4 linked regions of the Caenorhabditis elegans genome follow. The protein of the gene in region 2 purifies or fractionates together with the protein of the main gene of each other region. This does not show direct contact. Each region holds a gene or a part of one and is shown on either strand. Other genes may lie near its edges.

Region 1 (7,559 bases), on a different chromosome or scaffold from region 2:
TCCTACATACAATGATTTCATAGACATTCGAAAAAGTATATAAATTTTGTAGCTAGCTAACTTTACGAAAAAATCACAATATTTCAGGTCGAGTCCCATCATCTTGCTGTAATGAGCATGGAAAGCTTTCCTACCCAAATAACTGTGGAAGATCATTCAGCCAAGCTCCGCTCAACACTTATGCTCAATTTATCAATACACGGGTGAGATTTTCAAAAATATATTGATAAAAACAATGTAAATATTCAGTGATTTATTAATTAGTTTTGTTAATCTAACTTTCAAATAAATACAATCAAGTTCAAAACTTTTACAGGGATGCGCCGATGCCGTGTACGAAAGCGTGAGCAGCTCATTGAGCTTGATAGTAGGAGTTTGTGTGGTTCTTTGCATTGTTCAACTCCTTGGAATTGTGTTATCTATGACCTTATGTTGTTGCAAAGGCAATTCTAAAAAATAAACGCCTTTTTTGTTTATAGATGTTTTTTAATGAATAATAAATGTTTTTCTCTCTGATTTATTGGAATTTGTAAAGATAAATAATCGAATGACAAACAACAATTCTTTCAGATTGGGTAGAGTTGATGAAGAGTGGTTGGATAAATATTTGTGAAACAATTAAAGTCGAATTTGCAATAATTGACTTCTCAGGAAAGGAGTGTAGTGAATGGAGTAGCTTGATCAAAAAATCAATTGAAGGAGTACGAATTATTCAGGTCGATAAGATTGAGATCGGGGAGAGGATTTTTTCGTTTGAAATTAAAATGTTTGTTGTCAAAATATATTAGTGAGTTTTTTGTTTTTTTTTGCATTTTTTACGGTTTTTCAGGGGTCTTATAGCACACACGCGCAGCTTTTTTTTTGAGTTATTAGTCGGGTGTTTTAAATTTTATGATAAACTCAGAAAAGCTTAGGATAATAGGTTTTCTGGCACCCTGCTTCCAAACATCACAATAGTTTTTTTTGTGGAAAATTCTGCGTTTTCCAATACTTTTTGACTAGATGGTTGGAAAATAACCAGAAACGAAAAATGATAAATTCTCAATTAGTGTAAAGCCATTCAAAAATAAAAAAGTTATGAAAAATTTTATAGTTTAAAAAAATCAAAAGAGTTTTCAGCGAATCTGTGTTATTCATTATTTTTGAATTCAAAATAAAAACATTTAACTAAATTTTTTTGCGATTAAGATTAAACTACATTCTGGTTTCTGAGTTTTGCAAAAATCCTCCTTCTATAAATAAAGAAACAATGGCTTTCCAATATATTATTGCAACACAGTGCAAAACTTTTGAAGAGCATAGAGACTATTGGTTTTGCAGTTGAAAATGAGCAAGACTAAATTTCAAATAATTCAAAAGAGCAAAACAACCAAAAAATGCTTCAAAAATACGAAATAATCGCATAATTTAAAAGTTAGAGAAGGTGAATTAAAGTCTGGAAAAATGTTGATAGAAACTGAGTCCCATAAAGCGCTGTATGAGAATTATTAGCGCCGTGATGCAATTTTGACGCCCTGGTGGCAGAATGTAACAAAAACACATCGGTCATTTGCCATGCATCTGTATGTATTTGAATTAAGTCGTTGGCAAAACTTGTTCGATTCCAAAATGTGTAGAGCTGTGTCCCCTTCAAACTTGATTTTGGATTTCCAGTCTTGACTGATGGAGGTTATAGTAGTCTCCATGTAGAGCAACTTCTGAATAGTTAGGTAATTTAATGAGAAACAGATTGAAGCATTTGATGAGATTTTTATTTGAAGACAAAAGGGTGCAACTTCTCAATTTTTTTTCAGTTTTACTGCTTCAAACAAGGTTGCCATAAGATCGCCGCGCCGGCCTCACGGCGTCACTCACGTCGCCTGTATCCAAATGTATAGTGCGACGCGGAACCCCGGCCGCTTCCAAATAACTCTTTTTTGCACTACGTTGCGCACACATCAAGCTTCTCGTTTCACGCCAAGCTGCGGCACCCCGAACGTGTCGGCCGCTCCTAACAAATACCTGTCGCGCTTTATTGCACACACACAGCGGCGCACGGCGTCGGCGTGAGGCCCCCATTTCGCGCCTCGCTCAGCTGGGAGCCCTACTCTAAACATTTTTGGAGTGTTTTTTTTAAAATTATAATGGGTCGTGTTGGTCAGTGCATTTTGACTTAATCCTCACTTATGATATTCACCCCTCATTATCATTACTTATATATAAAAAAATACATGAGGGATGTTACAATTGTAGTTTGTAGTCTGTGACGTCACACCTGCAAGGTGTTTCCGGCTGTTGAAGGGATTGTGGGTTGGGGTTAGTGGTGGGATATGGTCGGGATACTGTAGTAGTACTGTAGGGGTACTGTAGGGTTACTGTAGGGTTACTGTAGTTTTGGAAAAATTGACTTTTTGTCTTTTGAAGTGATATTGGTTTGAGGTTAGTGGTGGGATATGGTCGGGGTACTGTAGTAGTACTGTAGTAATACTGTAGGAGTACTGTAGGATTACTGTATTTTTGAAAAAAATTGGCTTTTCGTTTTTTGAAGTGATATTGCTTTGGGGTTAGTGTCGGGATATGGTTGGGGTACTGTAGTTGTACTGTAGAGGTACTGTAGGAGTACTGTAGGATTACTGTAGTTTGGGAAAAATTGACTTTTCGTCTATTGAACGGATATTGGAAACTTTGAGAAAATTCCGGAATGCTCCAGAACCTTCTGGAAAATTTGAGAAAATGCTGGAATGTTCCAGAACCTTCTGGAAAATTTGAGAAAATTCTGGAATGTTCCAGAACCTTCTGGAAAATTCGAGAAAATTCTGGAATGTTCCAGAACCTTCTGGAAAACTTGAGAAAATGCTGGAATGTTCCAGAACCTTCTGGAAAATTCGAGAAAATTCGTGGTGAGACCCTTCGTGGTGAGACCCTTCGTGGTGAGACCCATCTTGGCGAGACCCATAAGTTTTGGCGGGAAATTCAAATTTTCTGATAAAAAATTTTGGCGGGAAATTCAAATTTTCTGAGAAAAATTTTTGGCGGGAAATTCAAATTTACTGAGAAAAACTTTTTGGTGGGAAATTCAAATTTTCTGTGAAAAATTTTGGCGGGAATTCAAATTTTCTGTGAAAAATTTTGGCGGGAATTCAAAATTTCTGTGAAAATTTTTAGCGGGAATTCAAATTTTCTGTGAAAAATTTTGGCGGGAATTCAAAATTTCTGTGAAAAATTTTGGCGGGAATTCAAAATTTCTGTGAAAAATTTTGGCGGGAATTCAAATTTTCTGTGAAAAATTTTGGCGGGAATTCAAAATTTCTGTGAAAAATTTTGGCGGGAATTCAAAATTTCTATGAAAAATTTTGGCGGGAATTCAAATTTTCTGTGAAAAATTATAACGGGAATTCAAGTTTTCTGTGAAAAATTTTGGCGGGAATTCAAATTTTCTGTGAAAAATTTTGGCGGGAATTCAAATTTTCTGTGAAAAATTTTGGCGGGAATTCAAAATTTCTTTGAAAAATTTTGGCGGGAATTCAAAATTTCTGAAAAAAAATTCTGGAATGTTCCAGAACTTTCTAGAAAAATCGGGAAAATTCTCGAATGTTCCAGAATTTTCTAGAAAATTCGAGAAAAGTCTGGAATGTTCAATTCCCTGAAAAAATTCAAGAAACTTCTGCGAAGTGCTAGAATCTTTCAAGTTTTGATACTCCTAGAATATTCTGAAGTTTTAAGAATTAAAAAAAAAACCAGAATTTGTTATAGATAATTTCCAAAAACGCTCGCCAAAAACTTTCGGAAAGGACCTGAAAAAGTCTCATAAAAGTTCCAGGAAACTTGAGGTTTTAAAATTGTAATTGCTTAAAATTAAGTATATAATATTTATGTTGCTCGAAAACTTCCGGAAAACAAGGAAAAAAACGTTCCATCTGCAGTGAAATGCTTAGAAATTTCAGAATTTGATTTTAATTTTGAGTACGCCAGTCGGAGCACGCGCTTCAGCGCGTGCGAACGGCTGGTGTATTTAAAAAATAAATAAACATACCTTGACATAATCTGTAATTTCCTGTGGTGTTAAAGCAAAAACTGTGGCATCAACTTTTGCACAATTATAGAAATGAGTTATTGGGCACGTTATAAGAACTCCTTTCGTTTTTAGACTAGATTTGTTTCCCCAATGAACAGTGTTCATAATTCTTCTCATATCCATCTTCCGTTCATGTTTTTTCACAATGATAGACAGTTCAAATTCTTCGTTTGGATCTATGTATGGCAAAATCAACATAATTTCCTTTTCTTCAATTTCCACCATTTTCAATTGTCTCAGTTCCAAATTGAATGGATACATGGCCCAGAGCATTTTTTGGAGTTTCTCGAAGAAAGCGGATCTTGTTGTCTCTGGCAGATTCTGTTCAGCTACTTCAACACGTAGAGCATTAACTTCCAATTTTGGTGCATCACATATTTCTTGAAAGATGTCCAAAGCCGCGTCTACGTAATTTTTTGCAGATAATTTCTGGAAAGGTTCTCCTTGTTTTTGAATTTTGCATTTCTTGGCGTCTACATGATAAAAAGCCATAAATTCCTTTGTTTCATAACTTCCATCTCTGCTCACATTGATTTCTACGAAATTGCGACCCAAACACAAACTGATTTTCTCAATTTTTAGTGGAAGTACATAACTGAAATTTTATGTAGATAAAGTTGTTCTGAATCGTCATTCACTTACTTAAAATTTTCGGGCATTCTCCTGTGTATGTGATGTTCTTTCGGTTCTGGGAACAGTGAGCTACTGTCGAGACTGAAAATGAATTGGGTTACAAAATTTTGAAGGATGAAGACTAGGACATCTAAATTACCTTTTTTTTCAAAGTTGCACAAAAGTGTCAATTACAGTGTAATTCATCTCAACTAAAAATTCAGCGTTTTCATGATTAAACGTAATGAAAAAAACAAGCAAAAATAATTTGGAAACTGACCCAGAACGCAAAAAAATGAGTTCCTAGACAAATGTCATCACTAGCTTGGTCATTACCTTCAACGTCATTATCTGGGACGTCACAGAAAACAATTCTGGCGTAAACCTCAATGTTTCCGAAATTTTCGCTTTGTTTTGCTAATTTTTGCTTTCCGTTTGTGGTGAGACCCCTTGTAAACAAACCCTTTCGGAAAGAAACTTTTTTTGGGAAGAAACTAAGCTTGAGCCTGAGCTTAAGCCTAAGCCTAAGCCTCAGCCTAAGCTTAATCGGCCAACAGGAACCGCCTCAAAAATCAAAAAAAAAAACCGGAAAATCCTAAGCCTTCATAGCGTGCGCTCGCCACTGACGCCAAGCCAATGTTTGAGCCTAAGCCTAAGCCAAAGCTGAACTTTAGCCTAAGCCGAAGTTTAAGCCTAAGCCTAAGCCTAGGACAAAGCCTGAGCCTAAGCCTGAGCTTAAGCCTAAGCAAACGTTTAAGCCTAAGCCTACGCCTATGCTAAAGTCTAAGCCAAAGCATATGCCTTAGCCTTTATCATATGCCAAATGGCAGCACACGGTTTGGCGTTCTAAAACTACTTCTAAAGTTCATAAAAATCAAAAAATACCATACCAAGTGTTTCGAAACACCTCCTCGAATCCACGGGTTCCTTGTTTGTACCAATATTCGACTTCTTCAATTTGAAGATCTGGGAACGCATTCTTGAGTTTTTGAAAAGCATATTGAGCGGGCTGCTTATTTTGAAATTCATTAAGAATGGAGAACCGTCTACACAGTTTCTCAGTATTCTCTCTATCCATGTTGACTTCCTGAAAGTTGAAATTCATAAATTTACTCATAAACGTCAATGATAAGCTTTTGAGCAGAACAAAAAAAGAAACAAGAGCTCACAAAACTGCCTGGCAACAATGTGCGTGGGGAAGAAGAAGTGATAGCTGAGTGCGCAGCACTAGTTCAATCGTGTTTCGAATGTAGATACTGGTAAGAGAAGGGAGGGAAGTACGGCTTACAATGTTGGAAAAAAGATAATAATAGGTAGACATTTGTAATGAGCATGTGATATGAATCGGAAAAAAATAGTGTAAGATACTAACAGCCAACTTTCGGATGTGTGAAAAGTGTATTTATTGTCAGCAGACTTTCCCACAAGTAATTGGAATAAAGGCGTACATCATGTCGCATTAGTTTATTGGCTGACCTGTAGCCGCTAATCCGAAACATACAAACAAAAGAGGAAAGTAATAGTGGTGACTTTCCAGATTTATTGGCAATATTCAGAAACAAGGACCCGGAGAATGTTGGTTTGTGTCAGAAAATGATTATCAGTTTTCTCCTCAGACCTGTCTAGCTGCGTGGGCGTCACTCAGTTTATGGATGATTTTGACAATGTTATCAACGATTATGTGGAAGTGCGAATCTACGAATACACTGTTTATCATAGAAAACTTAATGGAAGAAGATTTTGTTTTGCTGGTTACCTTCTCTGTAGAATTAAGATGACTCTTCAAACCAATCTTGTATACCCTGTTTAGTAGAATCCAATCGCACCTCATGTTGTTCTCCTTCGCTTTTTTGAATCTGGTATTAGGATACTCATACTTTTCAGGCTTTTTGGGAAAATTACCAAAACTAATTTTTATACATCCAAGCATTGATATGAGATACTTGAATTGTCATCTTTGTTGGTTTCTTCTTGTACATTTCTGTTCAACTACCCCCAATGGCTGATTGCAACTTGGAGCCTACTTTTCACCTATAATTTTTACACACTCTTTTTTTTTCCTTTTTTCTTCCACTCCAAATATTTGCATACGAAGTACATCTTCACCCATCTGCTTGTTGGCGGTCAGACGCGTCGAATTTTGAAATCACAAAGCAGAGTCTCCACTGATGCCGATTGATTTTTCACTGTGAGAAAATATCACATCAGATAAGAGACCACGGTTTATAGACAAAGAAGACAGAGCCCGGTGCCCAGCTGCGCGACGCTCTGGAAACCGAGTCGTGATGAAGAGATTTACTCACACAATAGGTTGTGAGTATATTTGGAAGGCGTCGTCCTGTCTAAAAATCGCCTAGCAACTGCATTCGTGGGAAGTAGGGGATAGCCAACCTGTGTGTGTGTGTGTGTGTTTGCAGAGAGCCTTTTTGAGTCACAAGACAGAGAGGCACTCTGATAGAAGGGGAAGCAACGTATTCCAAAGACAAAAAATATAACAATAATTGAGAGACATTGGATAATGTGAAAACAGAAACGTGCGAGCGGGCGAGAAGATATCCTTCAGAAATTTTTACAAATGGAAGTTAGGGATGAAGTAGTAGTTTCAATAAGAAGGACAAAATATTCAAGTGTATCGGAACCATTCAGTTTGATTCATAGTTAGATTATGTGTACGGAGCGGTCATACTAATACGGTTGTGCTTTTTCAAATTTCCAAACACATATCGATAAAGGAAACAGCCATAGCTGTTTTTGGAATCTGAACAATTGTTATCTCAAAATTATGCTATCACTAATAAGTCGAGAAATATTAAATTAAAATTTTAGGAACAATAAGAACAACTAAAATTAGAAATTAGCCAAGGAGCATGGAAAACATATTTTGATTATCAAG
Region 2 (5,810 bases):
GAAAAATATAGATATTATGGGAACAAAAAATTCTGAAAATGCGTACTGCACAACATATTTGACGTGCAAAATATCTCGTAGCGAAAACTACAGTAATTCTTTGAATGATTACTGTAGCGCTTGTGTCGATTCACGAGCTCTATATTTATCGACTGAATAACAAATTTGAGAAAAAAAATTTGAGAAAATCTAGGGAAAATAAATTATTTAATATCGAAAATCGAGCCCGTAAATCGACACAAGCCCTACAGTAGTCATTCAAAGACTTACTGTAGTTTTCGCTACGAGATATTTTACGCAATACACATTCTCAGATTTTTGTGCTCCCGAAATATCGTAATTTTGCTAAAAATTGGCAATTTCAAAAGCACATGGGATTTTTTGAGTGGGTCTCGTCACGATCTCAGTCATAGAGATCGCTACAAATGCCAAAGTTCACAGATTTGTTAATTTTCATCTAGACTTTTTTTCAAGTTTAATAGTATTGGAGAAATAAATATTTGGATTCAGAATTGTTCATTTCTCTAAAAATAGTTTAAAATACAATACAAAATTCTTTCAAAAAAAAGCAAAATTATTTCTTGACGACCGCTTCGAGTTGTTTCTGAAGTGCATTTCGATGAGTTTCCCCGTTCCAGACGGCTTCCAGCACTTGTTTTTGCTCCGTTTTTCCTATTTTTACAGCGTTCAGCATAGCTTTCTGGGCTCTTGTCACTTTCAAACCAGCGCTAGCCACTTGGTTGATGAAGTTCTGAAAACATATTTCAATGTATTATAGCAATGGCGCTCCACGGCGAGGTAAAAATGCTCCGCCCCCAAACGTTGGGTCTCGTTAGGTATTGACTTTTTTCTTGCATACTTTTTCCGTTTTAAACATGTTTTTCATAATAATGGAAGAAACGGAAATTAATTTTAAGAAAAGACGAGAATAATTGAAAATGTTCGAATACCTAACGAGACCCAACGTTTAGAGGCGGAGCCTTTTCATTTGCCAGTGGAGCGCGAATGCACCTCGATTTTATGGGATTTCTAGGCGACAAATGACGTCACAGTTCCGTACCTCAGCTTCATCTTCACTTTTGTACACATAATCCACATATCCTTGATCCTTTGCTTCCTCAGCTGACATAACATTTGCCCGTCCCATTGCAGCTAATGCTCGTCCTCTACCCATAATTCCCTCCATATATTCGGCACCTCCCCACGACGGAACAATTCCCATTTTCGATTGAAAAAATGCGATTTTCGAGCCAGAATGAGCAATTCGAATGTCGGTCGACGAGCAAATTTCGGTGGCTCCGCCGAGTGCGTGGCCATGGATTTTCGCAATTGAAATAGCTGGTGATGAGTGGAGAAGTGAAAGAATTGATGACATGTACTCGAACATTTGGACGCCAAGCTTTTGGTCCGAAATCTGAAATTTAAACATTTGAAAGTTGGAATTTAAAAATTGGAATTTCATTACATCTTTGATAAGACCCAAATCAGCACCCGAGCAGAACGATTTTCCAACTCCCGAAACAACGATAATTGCGTTTTGATCATCGGAAAATAGCTGAAAAGTGATATTTCAGGCATTTTTACTACGGTCTCGCAACGAAAAAAATAATTTCAAATACGACTGCGCAAAAACATGTGTGTTTTAAAGTACAGTAACCCACTATATTGTGAAAATTTATAAAATTTAGCGAAAATTTATTTGCCTACTGTAAATAGCGCTTGTGTCGATTTACGGGGCTGATTTTCGAAATGAATTTTTTTCCGAGTAGCGACAGCGATATTCCATTTTCCTTCGTTCCAATATATTCTTTCAATAAATAAATTATTTCGATTCGTTTCGAAAATCAAGCCCGTAAATCTACACATGCGCTAAATACAGTAGGCGTCAAATATGTCGCGCAATACGCATTCTCGAAAGTTTTTGTTCCAGTAATAGTTGTACCTTCGAATATTCCAATATAATTGTGTAATTTAAATTTAATAATTTTTGATCTTCCCGTGAGAGCGTGTAAAATTAAAAAAAAAGGAATTTTTAAATAAATGAAATTGAGAGAGGCCGTGTAAAGCCGTGTAAATACGTGATGTTAAAACGGAATCAGATTTTTCAAAAAAATGAAGCAAGAGGATTGCAGAAGCAAGAGGATTGCAGAGCAAGTAGGACACGATGCGGTGCCAGTGAAAAAAGTTCCTTGGGAAGAGCAACAGTTGATGAAGAAAGTGAAGCGTCTGCAATCGGAGAACGAAAAGTTGAAGGTGCAGCTGGATGATATGGTGGATTGTTTTGTGGAAACGAAGGAGGCTCTTGAGAAGGAAAAACGTGTGACGGACTTCCTGAAAAAGGCGATTTCCGATCTCAAAACTCTTCCGATTGAATGTGAGATTTGTGCAGTACAATATGGGGATTCTGGAATGACCGTGCCTCGTGTTCTGCGTAAGTCTGCCAATGCAACTCATAAAATAATGATATTATTCTTATCATATTCAGCGTGTGGCCACACAATTTGCACCGAATGCGCTGGAAATATTATCCAAAACAAGATGATCCGTTGTCCATTCGATAGAAAAGTGTACAAGTTCAATAACAAGACGATCGAGAATCTGCCCAAGAATTTTTCTCTCATAAATCAGTAGAAATTCGAATAAATGATTTGAAAAATACTGTGTAGATTGATTCTGATTCTGAGATTCTTAAGGTCTTCGCGCAAAACTACAGTAACCGGTATCACAATAATTTCAAGTTCAGCCTGCGTAAAAACATGCGTGACAATTAAATTAGTACAGTAATCACGGGGTTCTGGCCTTTATCATTGAATTTTCGCGCTCCATTGACAATCGCCTGCCGGACAACGTGTGGAAAAGTGCCGTGTACTCCACACGGGCAAATACATCAATTTTACAACTAAAAACGAGCCGCGACGCGACACGCAACGCGCCGTAAATCTACATAAAATCTCTTCGACCCAAAATGGCCTAGTTCGGCAAACTCTGCCATTTCGATTTATGAGGGAAGCCAGAATTCCGTGATAATAATTTACCATATTGTTTCAAATTTTTTCTATTACGGGAACACAAAATTCTGAGAATGCGCATTGCGCAACATATCTCTTAGCGAAAACTACAGTAATTCTTTAAATGACTACTGCTGCCATTGTGTCGATTTACGGACTTGATTTTCGAAATGAATTTCTTTAAGACATCGATATTCCATTCTCATCTGTTTCCTCGTAATATTTGCTAGTTTTTTCTCAAATTTATTATTCAATCGATAAATAAATAATTTAAATTCATTTTGTAAAAAGAGCTCGTAAATCGACACAAGCCCTACAGTAGTCATGTCATTTACACGTGGTGTGAGAGTGTCCCATTTCGGTTTGATCTACGTAGATCTCGAAAATTTCGAGAATTTAGATGCAGACTTCTCAACTAGTGGTTAAGAACGTGCTGACGTCACATTTTTTGGGGTAAAAAATTCCCACTTTTCTTGTAGATCAAACAGTTATGAGACAGCCTGACACCACGTGCATTTGAAGAATTACTGTAGTTTTCGTTATGAGATATTTTGCGCGTCAAATATGTTGTACAATACGCATTCTCGGAATTTTGTGTTCCAGTAATATACTCAAGCATTTAGTATTAAAAAGTGCTGGAGAAATCGGTTGCTGCACTTCTTAAAGGCGCACACTGTTTTGCTCGGTCTCTACCTCTAATGCATCAAATTTCACGCGCAAATTCAAAAACTTGCCTCAGTGTGCTCTCCAAACTGCTTCATCATTTCTCCAGACAAACAATTATTCTTTTCCGGGCGGTCCAGAATTACGTCAAGTCTTGTTTTCAGCTTCTCGTTTCGCTGAACTCGAATCGCACCGCCTTGCCATGATTTAAAGACTTCCAGCAGTGCTGCGGATGGTCTAACCTGAAAAAATTCAATTCTAAAGGCACATAGTCGTGAATCACGCAATATTCAAATTTCGAAGAACATACCACTTTTCCAGACATTTTTGTCGCTCAGTTGCCCTGAAAAATTAGAAAAATCTTTTTATTTTTAGGTTATAAGCGGTTAGTGAGAAGAATAAGAATATATTTTCCCTATTTTTGAGTCACAAGTCGAAGCCCCGCCACCAAACGCAGGGTCTCATTAGGTATTGGCGGAAAAACAAGAAATTCAATAGTTTTCTTGACAGTTTTAGAATCCAAAAAACCGGTGCAAAATTTCATTTTCCTACAATTTTTGTACAAAAAACCGTACAACAAAGACCCCGCCCCTAAAATAGGCGGGGCTATGAACCATTTTGTGGGCGTGTCTGGCGGTAGATTTTACAACAAAAAAGTATGACGTGAATCGAGGAATCTACGAATATTTATTGCATCAATTGAAAAATCAATCTATCATCGCTTCTTGGCAATAGAGATAAAGTTGCAAAATTTCAAAATCTAAAAAAAGGAAGGATGGAAAATAATTTAATTTATTGCTATGAAACACGAGCGCTTAAAATGGGAGAGCCGGGGGGGGGAGGGGGAGTCAATAAATAAATATATAAAATTCAAATAATTAAATAGGACACAGAAGCGTGCGTTTTGCAAAATAAATTTTTGGGTGGAAAGAATGAAACAAAAAATGCCGCTAGAGACTGGAAGACGCAGAGATAGAGATAGGGGGAAAACATCACTGATCTGACGAAAATTTGGCCGAATCTGAAGAATTTTGGGGGGTACATTGTATCTAGAGAGCATGAAAAATTATGACAATTCGACCGAAGAAAAAGGCAATTTACTGGAATATATATTCTAATCAAGGGTGACGTCGAAAAATTCTGATTTTTCGGTATTTTGGGGTAATTGAAAAATCGAGAAAAAAAATCGATTTTTCCGAATTTTTCAATGCAAAAAAACGACACATTTGATTGCAATATACTTTGACTATTCAAAAATTTTGAAAAAAAAAGGTTAAAAAGGAATACTAAGTGATTTCAAATTGGAGTGGCACCTGGATTTCGCTATTTGATTAGTTTTGCACAATCTACTGGAAATTCTAAAATTGGAGAATCTTGGGGGATATCAAGAAATAGAAATAGGCTATCATTTTGTTTTTACATTAAAAAAAAATAAATCAGGGAATGTTACGAGAGAGATAGAGAGAAATAGACGACTAGACTATAATCCAAATGGATCGGCTGAGGCGGCCTGGGCCTGTTGAGCTTGTGCAGCGTTCTTTGCAGCCATCGCTGCATGAACCAATTGAATTTGGTGTTGCTGTTGTGGTGGAACAGGTTGTCCGTATCCATATTGTTGACCGTATGCTGCTGCAAAAAAAATAAGATTTTGAAAATCTACCGAAATATAGTGCCAGACACGCCCACAAAATGGTTGAATTCCTATTCTAGGCGTGGGGCTTTTTTGTTTTTGTTTGGTATTATTTAGACCAAAAAATAAACCAAAAACTGCTCACTTTCTCGCGGTTTTTTAATAAATTTAAGTATAAATTTTTTTTGTTGGTTTTTTGGCCCGAAATCCAACCCAAAAATGTTTTGCTATTTTTTGTCCAAAATTATTTTTCCGCTTATCCAAAAATTGCTGGAATATGAAATGTTCCACCGATTTTTCGATTTTAAATAAAACTGAATTTTTTCCAGAGGTTTAAATTTTATATTTTAGTATAAAATAGGTGTATGAGCATATTTCGAAAATGAAGCAAAAATTAACAAAAAATGCTTCAAAATCGATTTTCACATTTAAAATAATCTTGAAATATTGTGAAAAATTAGATAAAAATTCAATTGTTCCGAGATTCTAATTTTAAAAAAATTCCTCGT
Region 3 (5,588 bases), on a different chromosome or scaffold from region 2:
TCATGATGCTCCATTGCTTATTCTGGCTCATAAATACCCACCAAGTGTTCCATCACCAACAGATAGTACTTCTACATTATCACTTTCTATTTTGTTTAATGGTGAGTATAGCTTGATATCTATCAATATTTTTGGTTCAAAAAAATTTTGTAACACAAATTTGGAGTTTATAAAAACCCCTTTGGTTCTAGTTTAAAAATGGTAGTGTGCGTAGAAACGTACATACTATGATCTGTAAATACTTTAAACTTTAATTATATTATATTTATAACAAAATTGATGAATATTCAGATGATACAGCACTTGCATTCAGTATTTGTGCAGCCACAACTTTAGCGTGTCAACTGGAGACAACGGGTTGTGTTGACGTGGTACAGGTTCTTTCATCGTATACCGAAATTCAGTGTGGTATTTTTGCCTCGAAGGTGAAAATCGAATTATCTCATTTTCCAATACCAAATTATTTTGTTTTCAGCAAGAAATCGAGATAATCTATGAAAAGATGTCACAGCTAGTCGGAGGAACACGTGTCTAAAAATTTATAAATTCAATTGGAATCGATCCGAAGTATAACTTCCCGAGAAGAAACAATAAAAAATCAATTTCCGGTGTCATTATAAATGAATATTTAATTTATTAATTATATTTTGAAATAATAACAAGCTAGATGGTCAGCGAAGCAAATAAAATGGATACAGCTTTAAAGAGAAAACAAAAGAAAAAATGATTACAATCCCTTCAAAGTCTTGTCGAGAAGATCGAAAGTCAGATCCAAATGTTTTTTGGTGTAGACGAGTGATGGACGGAAACGAAGTGAACGGTCTCCACATCCTCCACAGTGAAGTCCGTTGCTGATGGCCTAAAATTAAATTGAAGTTTAAGAAATTTAATATATAAATGTAAGATGGCTGAATTTGACATTTATCACTATTAATTCTGCTTACCAAGTCAACAAATTTGTCTCTCAAAGATCCAGATGGGAAGTCAACGGCGGCAAAAGTTCCTCTTCCTCTGGCTTGATCCAACTTTCCTCCAGACGATGCTTGAAGTTCTCCAAGTCTCTTTTGGAATTCAGCTCCAACTTCTCTGCTCTGCTCAATCAATCCATCTCTCTTAATAACCTCAACAGCCTTTTCCAAAAGAAGAAGCTTGGTCGGATCTCCCATCCATGTGTTGTAAATACGGTAAGCCTCCTTAACTCGGAGATGTTCTCCGTAGAAGTATCCTCCTGTCAAAAGTTTCTTTGAGAATGTGACCATATCTGGTGGAGAGCTCAAGTTCCAGTGATCATGAGCCCAGATATCTCCAGTTGCTCCACCTCCAGTTTGAACTTCATCAACAATGAATACAATTCCATGTTTAGAAGTAATATCACGGAGGCCTTGGAAGAATGCTGGACTTCCATAATGATCTCCACCTTCTGCTTGAATTGGTTCAACAATAATTGCAGCTACATCATTATCACGACGTTTCCATTCGGAAATCTTCGCTTCAACGTCAGCAAGACACTCCTGATCTTGCTTCTTATTGTATGCAACATTCTGGTCAAGTGGATACTTATAACGGGGGAACTTGGCAATTGGCCAGTCAAATGCTGGAATATCAACCTGAAAATAATTAATTAGAATTGTTTCGAAATAAAACTTTGAAATACCTTATGAATTGGCTTACTTCTGGTAACCGACAACATGCACAAAGATCTTCCATGGAAAGCTCCTTCAAATCCCATAACTGAAAGATTTGGAGTTCCTGGTTTCTGTTGATTCATGCAGCTTTCCAAATGAAGAGCATCTGGTCCAAGACCTCCTCTTCTCTGAGCTTGATACCAGATAAATGCAGTTTTGATTGCATTCTCGTTGGCCGATGTACCGCAAAGCATTGTTTGAACTGCCTTCAATCCTTTTGGAGCAATTGATGTAAGAGCATGAGAAATTCCATCAGCAAAGTCGGTACGTGGGAAGGATCCAAGAGCTGGACGAGAAACAAGAGATGTCTGAAAATTTATTTTCTAATACATTTCTCAACTTTTCAGTAAGTATCTTGTTTTCTTTAGTTTTATCCAAATATTACAGACAGGCAAATCACTTAATATTTAATTTTTTACTGGTTTCTAGGTGTACGGTTAATGTGAAAATATGGTCATTATGTGCCTTCCTCCTGCCTGCCTGACTGCCTACCGCCTAATTTCTGTATTTGTGCCTGAATGCGGATGCGGCGTAAAACATTTTCATGCGTACATGGAAGGCTAAGTTCGAATGCTCCAATTGATTGTAAGAGGTTCAAAAATTGATTTTGAAATCAATTTATAAAAACTCACAATCAAATGTGGCTGCGAAGCGACCTTAACCAAATCTGGATGATTGTATCCCAAAGGAAGAGATGATATTTGAGTATAGACATCGAGAAGTGCATTTCCTAAATTAAATCCTGGTGTGTAAACTGAAAATAAAAACTAACCATCAGCATCTACAACGTAATTTCCGAATGATTTCTCGTAGTCGACATGGAAACGAACGGATGTAGTTTGCTGAAAAAAAATTTTTTTAATTTTTATAAAATTTTGAAATCTCATATTGCATTTGGAATGATTCATATGTTTCATAACTACAGTATTTTTGACAATATGTATAAAATTTAAATTTCCTTGAAATATTATTTTATTTTTTGTATTATCAATGAAATTGAAGATTTGAAATTAAAAAAACTAAAATCAAATAATCAAAACTCCTGAATGTCAGTTGTCAGTTGACCAGAGAAAGTGTAATATTTCTGAGACGAATTTCATTCGTTCTGTGATAAGGGTAAGAATGTGATGTTCATGTAATTACGGAGTTGAGATGTTGGTTTTTGATTTGAAAATTGAACTGAATGGCTCGAAATTCTTCGCAATTGTGTGACCATTAAATAGCTAATAATGTTTTGTAATCTAAAATTATAATTTATCTATCTTATAATTCTTAATAATTTAGAATCAAATTGACAATGTTGAGCTTCTGTTGAGCAAGTTGTCAGAAAGTTCAGCCAAAGTTTTTGTTTGAAAAGTAATTTCAAGCGATTTCGCCACTGAATAATTGTCAAAAACTAAAACCAATACATAATGAGCGTATAAGATTTAGAATAGATATAAAAAATAAGTTATCACAATTTGAAGGTATTTTAAGGTCCATGATGTTTAAAAAAACCATTTAACTTTCGATATCTCAATTCTTACATGAACTTTATCCATTTCCTGTTTCAACGCCTTTGACTTTGGTCCAGGAATGCTCGTTGAAATACTAGGTCCAGATGGCTCGGCATTTGCAATCGCCGAAACTCCACGCACTAAAATAAACGTTTCAATTGAGTCAGAGCATTTTTTGGAAACATTCTCATGGTGTTGAAGTGTTTTAGTATTTTTTTAAAATTTCAGAAAATTTTGTTTTTTTAATCTTCCAAATTGAAACATGTGGTGAATATCAAAATACCTGCCAATTTACCAAAACTTCGATTTTATCGTTCAGTTTTTCTGATCTTTTCCCTATTCGGTTTTACTCGAGAAAAATCAATTGCCTTCGTTAATGTTTGTGATACTGATAAACTGATAAGAGAATCAAAAAAGTGTTGTTTGTTTCTTTTTCAATGTGTTTTAGGTCAAAGATGCAAGTAAAAAGGGTTGAAAATGAATGTATCTAGAAGAACTAAAAAGCTGCAGGTTAGGTTTTTCAAAATCAAAAATTATATGTTAAATTATTTCCTAAATAAATCCCAGTTGAATCCAAAATATATTAATTGGTTTACCCTGTTGGATTAAAGATGACTTTGCCAGTCTGGGAAGCATTCTTCCTTCTGAAAAAAACTATTCAAATTATTCGAAAATCGATTTGAAAAAAACAAAGAGAAAGAAGAGTAAAATTTGAAGTGGCAGGAGAAAACCGAATAATTTTTTCTCCCGTTTTCTCTTTTTAGGCGTCAAACGAGACGCAGAGAAAGGCAGGGGGAGGAGCTTATGTTTTTTAGTGAAGGAAATAAATGCGTTTTCTAGTGAAAATTGTTTGAAGAAGTAAACTGAAAAATTGGAAGCCAATGGAAGACGTTTATATTGAGCCTGTGAATGGTGTAAACTTGCTCCACGTTGTGCAAAGAAAAAGGCTCGCAGAGCACGAAGGGTGTAATCGGAAGGACAACTGACACAAAGAGATGGGGTCACGTGATCGATTTATTGTTTCTTCAGATTCTGGAGATATCGACAAGTGAAAGAAAAGAGAAAAAGAGAATACAATCTAACCGGTAATCTAAACGTACTTATTAAATCAATGCAATACATAAGAATAGGGAAGTAAAAAATCAGGAATCAGAAATATTAGTTTTTGAATCTGTTCTAGAAGCTCCGGGGAATAAAAAAAAAGATTTTCGATTTTAAGTCAAAGCACCGTTACATTTCTTTAGCTTTATACTACAAAAAGGTATAATAAATTGAGACCTACAAGAACGAATGGACTACTTTTAGAGAAAAAGAAATAGAAGTTTACATGAAATAAAACATTCGTTTCTTGAACTTTTAAGACTAATCAAGTGTTTCTTCAACAAGTAAATGTGCGGCTCTCATATATTTATGCACTGCTGACTCAAAATCGGACTGTTCCAATGGAAGAAGTTGATTTACGGAACCTCCAGAAGCTACAGTAGCTTTTGCTCGAGCGAGAAGAGCAAGACGACAAACCTGAAAAATTACATAACAACACGATTATTGGCGTTTCATTTTCCTGTAACATAAAAACTTAAAATTTTCGAACGCGTATTATTTTTTAAGCTAATTATTGTGTATCTAACTTCTAAATATTTTTAGATGATTTTGGAAGAAGTTGAAATAATTTAAATGAGTTTTTTTAAAATTAAATTCAAAATTGTAAGTTTTTTCAAGCTCACTATTAGAACAACTTGTATTAAATATATACAATTCTCTTCACTAATGTTTTTATTTGTATTTTTTTTTCCTTTAAGGTTACTGTAGACAATTATATTACATTTTATCATATTACAAATTACATTTTTCCTTTAAAATCCAATGCATTTTTCACATTAGAAACATGAATTAATTGTGAAACAGCAATTTATTCTCATGAAGCTCGCAAAACTTTGCGATTTCTGCCCCAAATATTCTCGACACGAAATTTTATGTTAACTATGAAAAGGTGTGTACCTTTAAAGAGTACTGTAATTTCAAACTCTCGTTGTTGCAAAAGTTTAATCGAGTTTTCGTAGTTTTCAATAAAAACACATATACTTATTTGCTGTTTCACTATTAATTCATGTTAAAAATGTATTGGATTTTATAGGAAATCCAAGATATATTATTGTCTACAATTTTTCATGTTGAACAGATTTATATTAAATATTTCGTTACCGAATTCCACTAGAATATATGTGACATATATAGCCACAAAGCGAACTAATAATATTACGACCATTTCGGGGATGTAATATATTTGATTAAAATTTTAAAAAGAAAAAAAGCACGAACCTCTTTCAAATCACTTCCACTAAGACCTTCTGCTGCCTGTGCGATTTCTCCGAGATTTACAGTATTATTGATCTTTTCATTCCTGAGA
Region 4 (3,146 bases), on a different chromosome or scaffold from region 2:
AATAATAATAAATAAAATGGTTCTCTCGTTATTTCTAATTAATTGTTGGGAAGCAAATTGTTCACTCGTAAAGTTTCAACAAAACTATTTTTAGGCTGCGTCACAATCGAAAATTGTGGACGATGCGAGTGATTCCGATAGTCATGAAGAATTCGACAAATGTGATCAGGATTCAGACGATGGAAGTGACATTGAAGAGTTGGAGAAAATCGAGGACAAGGACGTTGATGCTCTAGAATATGAAATGCTATAGGTGCCAAGTATCTTGCTTTTCTGCCAACGGGTACTTGTGCACTCTGTAACGTGTTTCTTGCTTCAAATTTCTCATTAACATTCTTCCGAATTTTTTCATTTTCAAAATTGTTCAATAATGCCAAAGAACCGTTTGTTTTTCTTTAGTTATTAAATTGAACAAACTGTAACTAAATGTTTTTAACATTCTTATTTGTACATAGAAATGTAACTTCTCTAATTGTTTCATATGTATTCATGTTTCAAGTATTCATTTTTCCTCAACTCCTTATATGAATTTTTGTATAAAATGTAAAAACATCCGGATTTTTCACAATTACCATCCCACCACTGCATAATAATTCTAGATGCCTGCTTGCGCATCATGGCGTCAACAAAACAAAAATGCGTTGTTGTGTTATTTGTTGACAATGACCGGTTTGTAGTAGTGATGGCAGTGGGTGCCACTGCTTTAAGCTTTTCCTTCAAGAGAAAGTGAGTAGACAGGAAAAAAAAGTGAGAAAAATAATAATAGGCTTGATTGAAATTTCTTGTCTGTTCTCATTTTCTTGCGCATGGGTAATGCGTGATACTGAAGCTCGTTAGCATTGTAGAAAACCGAAGAGGGACTTCAAGCTTGAAAGAGGGAAAGTTTTGAAGAGGTGGAAAAATGTGAAAATTGATATAGAAAATCATGAGTTCACGGTGTCAAGTTTCCAATAGAAGGTACAAATAATAGAGCAAGACCAGCACTAAATTTCAGGATAAACACTTTGTTAAAATCTCGCATATTCTAGCTTTAACTAAGTTCAACTAAAAATAGTATTGTTGAGTTTAATTTTAAAATATTTTCGCAAGTTGCGTCCTTGTGGAAGGCTTACTGTACGTATTATGAAGGTACCCACTAGGATGATCCAGTACGGAAGTAAGTCGTAAAGATTTTACCAAACGATTTTTCATAAAGTACGAATTTTTCATAAAGTCTTGTAATTCATAATCGAGGTCACATTGTTGTGGGAAAACCATGCGCTTCACCCACTGACCACCTGATTTCAATAAAAGCTTCTAATATTTCTCTTATCATTTGCTCCAAGCACTCTAGCAGAGCATCATGACGTGTTGTTTTGTTCAATTCTTTTTCTGCATCCTTTACAAAATCAAATCAAAAACAAGCGGGGAAGTGTACGGGGGGTGTGTGCAAATTATAACTCACAAGATGCTTGAGGTGGTCCACTCGTTGCCTCCTTGTTTGTATGTGTGTAGTGTTCCTCATCCTATTTCTCGTTCTCTTTCATTTTGTCTGCTTCTCTACAGCTTTTGTCCATTTATTCTTTTGCATACGATTGGCTTTTCATTTACTTTTTGCATACTTACTACATTTATCCATCTCTTTCATAATAATAACAATAATAATATTTCCAGGGACACTTCCTAACTAACCTGCTTATCTTCAAAATGTTCGAAAAAGTAATCAAACTATGGAGAGATACATTCCCAAAATCGGAGCACAAATTGATGTCAATTGAGTATGTCGCTGCGATTGAAGAATTCAATGAGTATTTCCCTGGATATGCTGCAATGAATGATAGTAACTATTCAAAACTTCAGCATTTCTTCCGTTCTCTTCACCCAATTGGATGTATTAAACCTTTCCGATTTCATTATTCATCGGCATTTGCATTGGAAAACTCATTAGATGACTATCTTCTAAAAAATGCTCAATTCAAAAGAGACGGCTTAGCTGGAGAATGGGCGGTGAGTTTCTAGAATTGTTTTAAATAAAGATGTCAAAATCTTGAACACGTTTGGCATTATTGTCTTAAATTTGAAATTAAATTCCAGTCTGAAAATTTTGAAAGTTTGGTTGGCATATATCAAATGTAGGTTTATTTTGTTAAAATGTACAATGAACTCACAAAAACATCAAATTAACTTTTTAATCCTGTTAGGAAACAACATACACCAAATTCTCTACAATTGAAAAAAAAATCGAATTTTTAGATTCACATCTTTGCCGACCACAACGACCATATTATTGAAAAATACCGAATGTACAAGAAGAAACGACTTGAGAAACTGGAACGAACTTTTGAGGAAAGAAAAAAGAAAGCAGAGAGAATGAATCAAAAGCATGAATATCGCTTGATGTGGTATTTAGGGAAGGAAGGATATTACAAATACACCAATTCACGACTGGAGAAGATGGAAAAAGACCGAGAAATTAGAAATAAAAATGGAAAGGAAATGGAACAAGTCACCTAAACTTCTGGTACTTAAAAATGTATTTTGTGTTCTTCCAAGTCGTCATTATTCGTCTACTTCTACCCATTTGACATAATCTTTTCCTCATCATTCCCCTCGTCCATGTTGTTAATTTCAATAAAACGAAGTACAAATTGGAACAGCGCAAACTATTTTCTTTATATATTAAGAGAAACACACACACAGACCACAAATTCAAGGTCTTTCTTCCAGTTTTAATTCGATAATTAGGATTGCGGTTTGTGTATAAATATGAAGTACCCCCAACTATACAAACTTTATTTTCCTTCGAAATGTCATCAAAAGTTCCAATCTTCACTCTGTCTAATGGAGTTCTCATGCCAAGTATTGGTCTTGGTACCTGGCAGGTAACATTTAAAATTAGTTTGAAGTTTAGAATAAATTAACTACCATTAGCAAGGATTTATTCAACACTTGGTTGTAATGTTACTTGAAATTGCCAGTTTTTGTACATTGATATAATTTTTAGGAATTTTATTAAAGTTTCGGATAGCTGTACCCAACAAATTTCAATAATTCAGACAAAAAATGTTTTATCGGAAATATTTAGAAGCAGAGAAGCAAACTAGAAAATAATTTTTTCGCTCAAAAATCTGTATGAGCCAAAGAAAAGAGTCCACTCTATAATTTCT

Evidence for each region.
Region 1: the proteins of C32E8.9 (region 2) and F33C8.2 fractionate together in Caenorhabditis elegans (co-fractionation; one large-scale study listed by BioGRID). This does not show direct contact.
Region 3: the proteins of C32E8.9 (region 2) and gta-1 fractionate together in Caenorhabditis elegans (co-fractionation; one large-scale study listed by BioGRID). This does not show direct contact.
Region 4: the proteins of C32E8.9 (region 2) and ZC443.2 fractionate together in Caenorhabditis elegans (co-fractionation; one large-scale study listed by BioGRID). This does not show direct contact.

What each region holds. Positions count from the first base shown.
Region 1 is NC_003284.9:14,719,583-14,727,141, reverse strand, and holds F33C8.2 (DUF38 domain-containing protein), read right to left. Parts: upstream 5,745-7,559; coding exon 5,557-5,744; intron 4,769-5,556; coding exon 4,697-4,768; intron 4,650-4,696; coding exon 4,013-4,649; intron 1,698-4,012; coding exon 1,488-1,697; 3' UTR 502-1,487; downstream 1-501. Other genes in the region: tsp-8 (Tetraspanin), read left to right, coding at 88-203, 317-460.
Region 2 is NC_003279.8:3,794,054-3,799,863, forward strand, and holds C32E8.9 (Ethylmalonyl-CoA decarboxylase), read right to left. Parts: upstream 4,016-5,810; 5' UTR 3,997-4,015; coding exon 3,982-3,996; intron 3,914-3,981; coding exon 3,743-3,913; intron 2,662-3,742; exon of another isoform or gene 2,632-2,661; coding exon of another isoform or gene 2,486-2,631; intron 2,432-2,485; coding exon of another isoform or gene 2,113-2,431; exon of another isoform or gene 2,106-2,112; intron 1,556-2,105; coding exon 1,466-1,555; intron 1,415-1,465; coding exon 1,061-1,414; intron 752-1,060; coding exon 575-751; 3' UTR 503-574; downstream 1-502. Other genes in the region: C32E8.1 (RING-type domain-containing protein), read left to right, coding at 2,113-2,431, 2,486-2,631; Phosphatidylinositol-binding clathrin assembly protein unc-11, read right to left, coding at 5,152-5,300.
Region 3 is NC_003282.8:10,178,897-10,184,484, reverse strand, and holds gta-1 (putative 4-aminobutyrate aminotransferase, mitochondrial), read right to left. Parts: upstream 3,826-5,588; 5' UTR 3,818-3,825; coding exon 3,778-3,817; intron 3,322-3,777; coding exon 3,212-3,321; intron 2,528-3,211; coding exon 2,458-2,527; intron 2,416-2,457; coding exon 2,318-2,415; intron 1,994-2,317; coding exon 1,655-1,993; intron 1,608-1,654; coding exon 945-1,607; intron 860-944; coding exon 728-859; 3' UTR 546-727; downstream 1-545. Other genes in the region: ptrg-1 (Tyrosine-protein phosphatase 4), read left to right, coding at 1-101, 292-425, 476-535; mspn-1 (Mitochondrial sorting homolog), read right to left, coding at 4,544-4,699, 5,501-5,588.
Region 4 is NC_003283.11:12,809,699-12,812,844, reverse strand, and holds ZC443.2 (uncharacterized protein), read left to right. Parts: upstream 1-1,652; 5' UTR 1,653-1,686; coding exon 1,687-1,986; intron 1,987-2,105; exon of another isoform or gene 2,106-2,232; coding exon 2,233-2,493; 3' UTR 2,494-2,633; downstream 2,634-3,146. Other genes in the region: ZC443.3 (Glutamic acid-rich protein-like), read left to right, coding at 95-253; ZC443.1 (NADP-dependent oxidoreductase domain-containing protein), read left to right, coding at 2,787-2,861.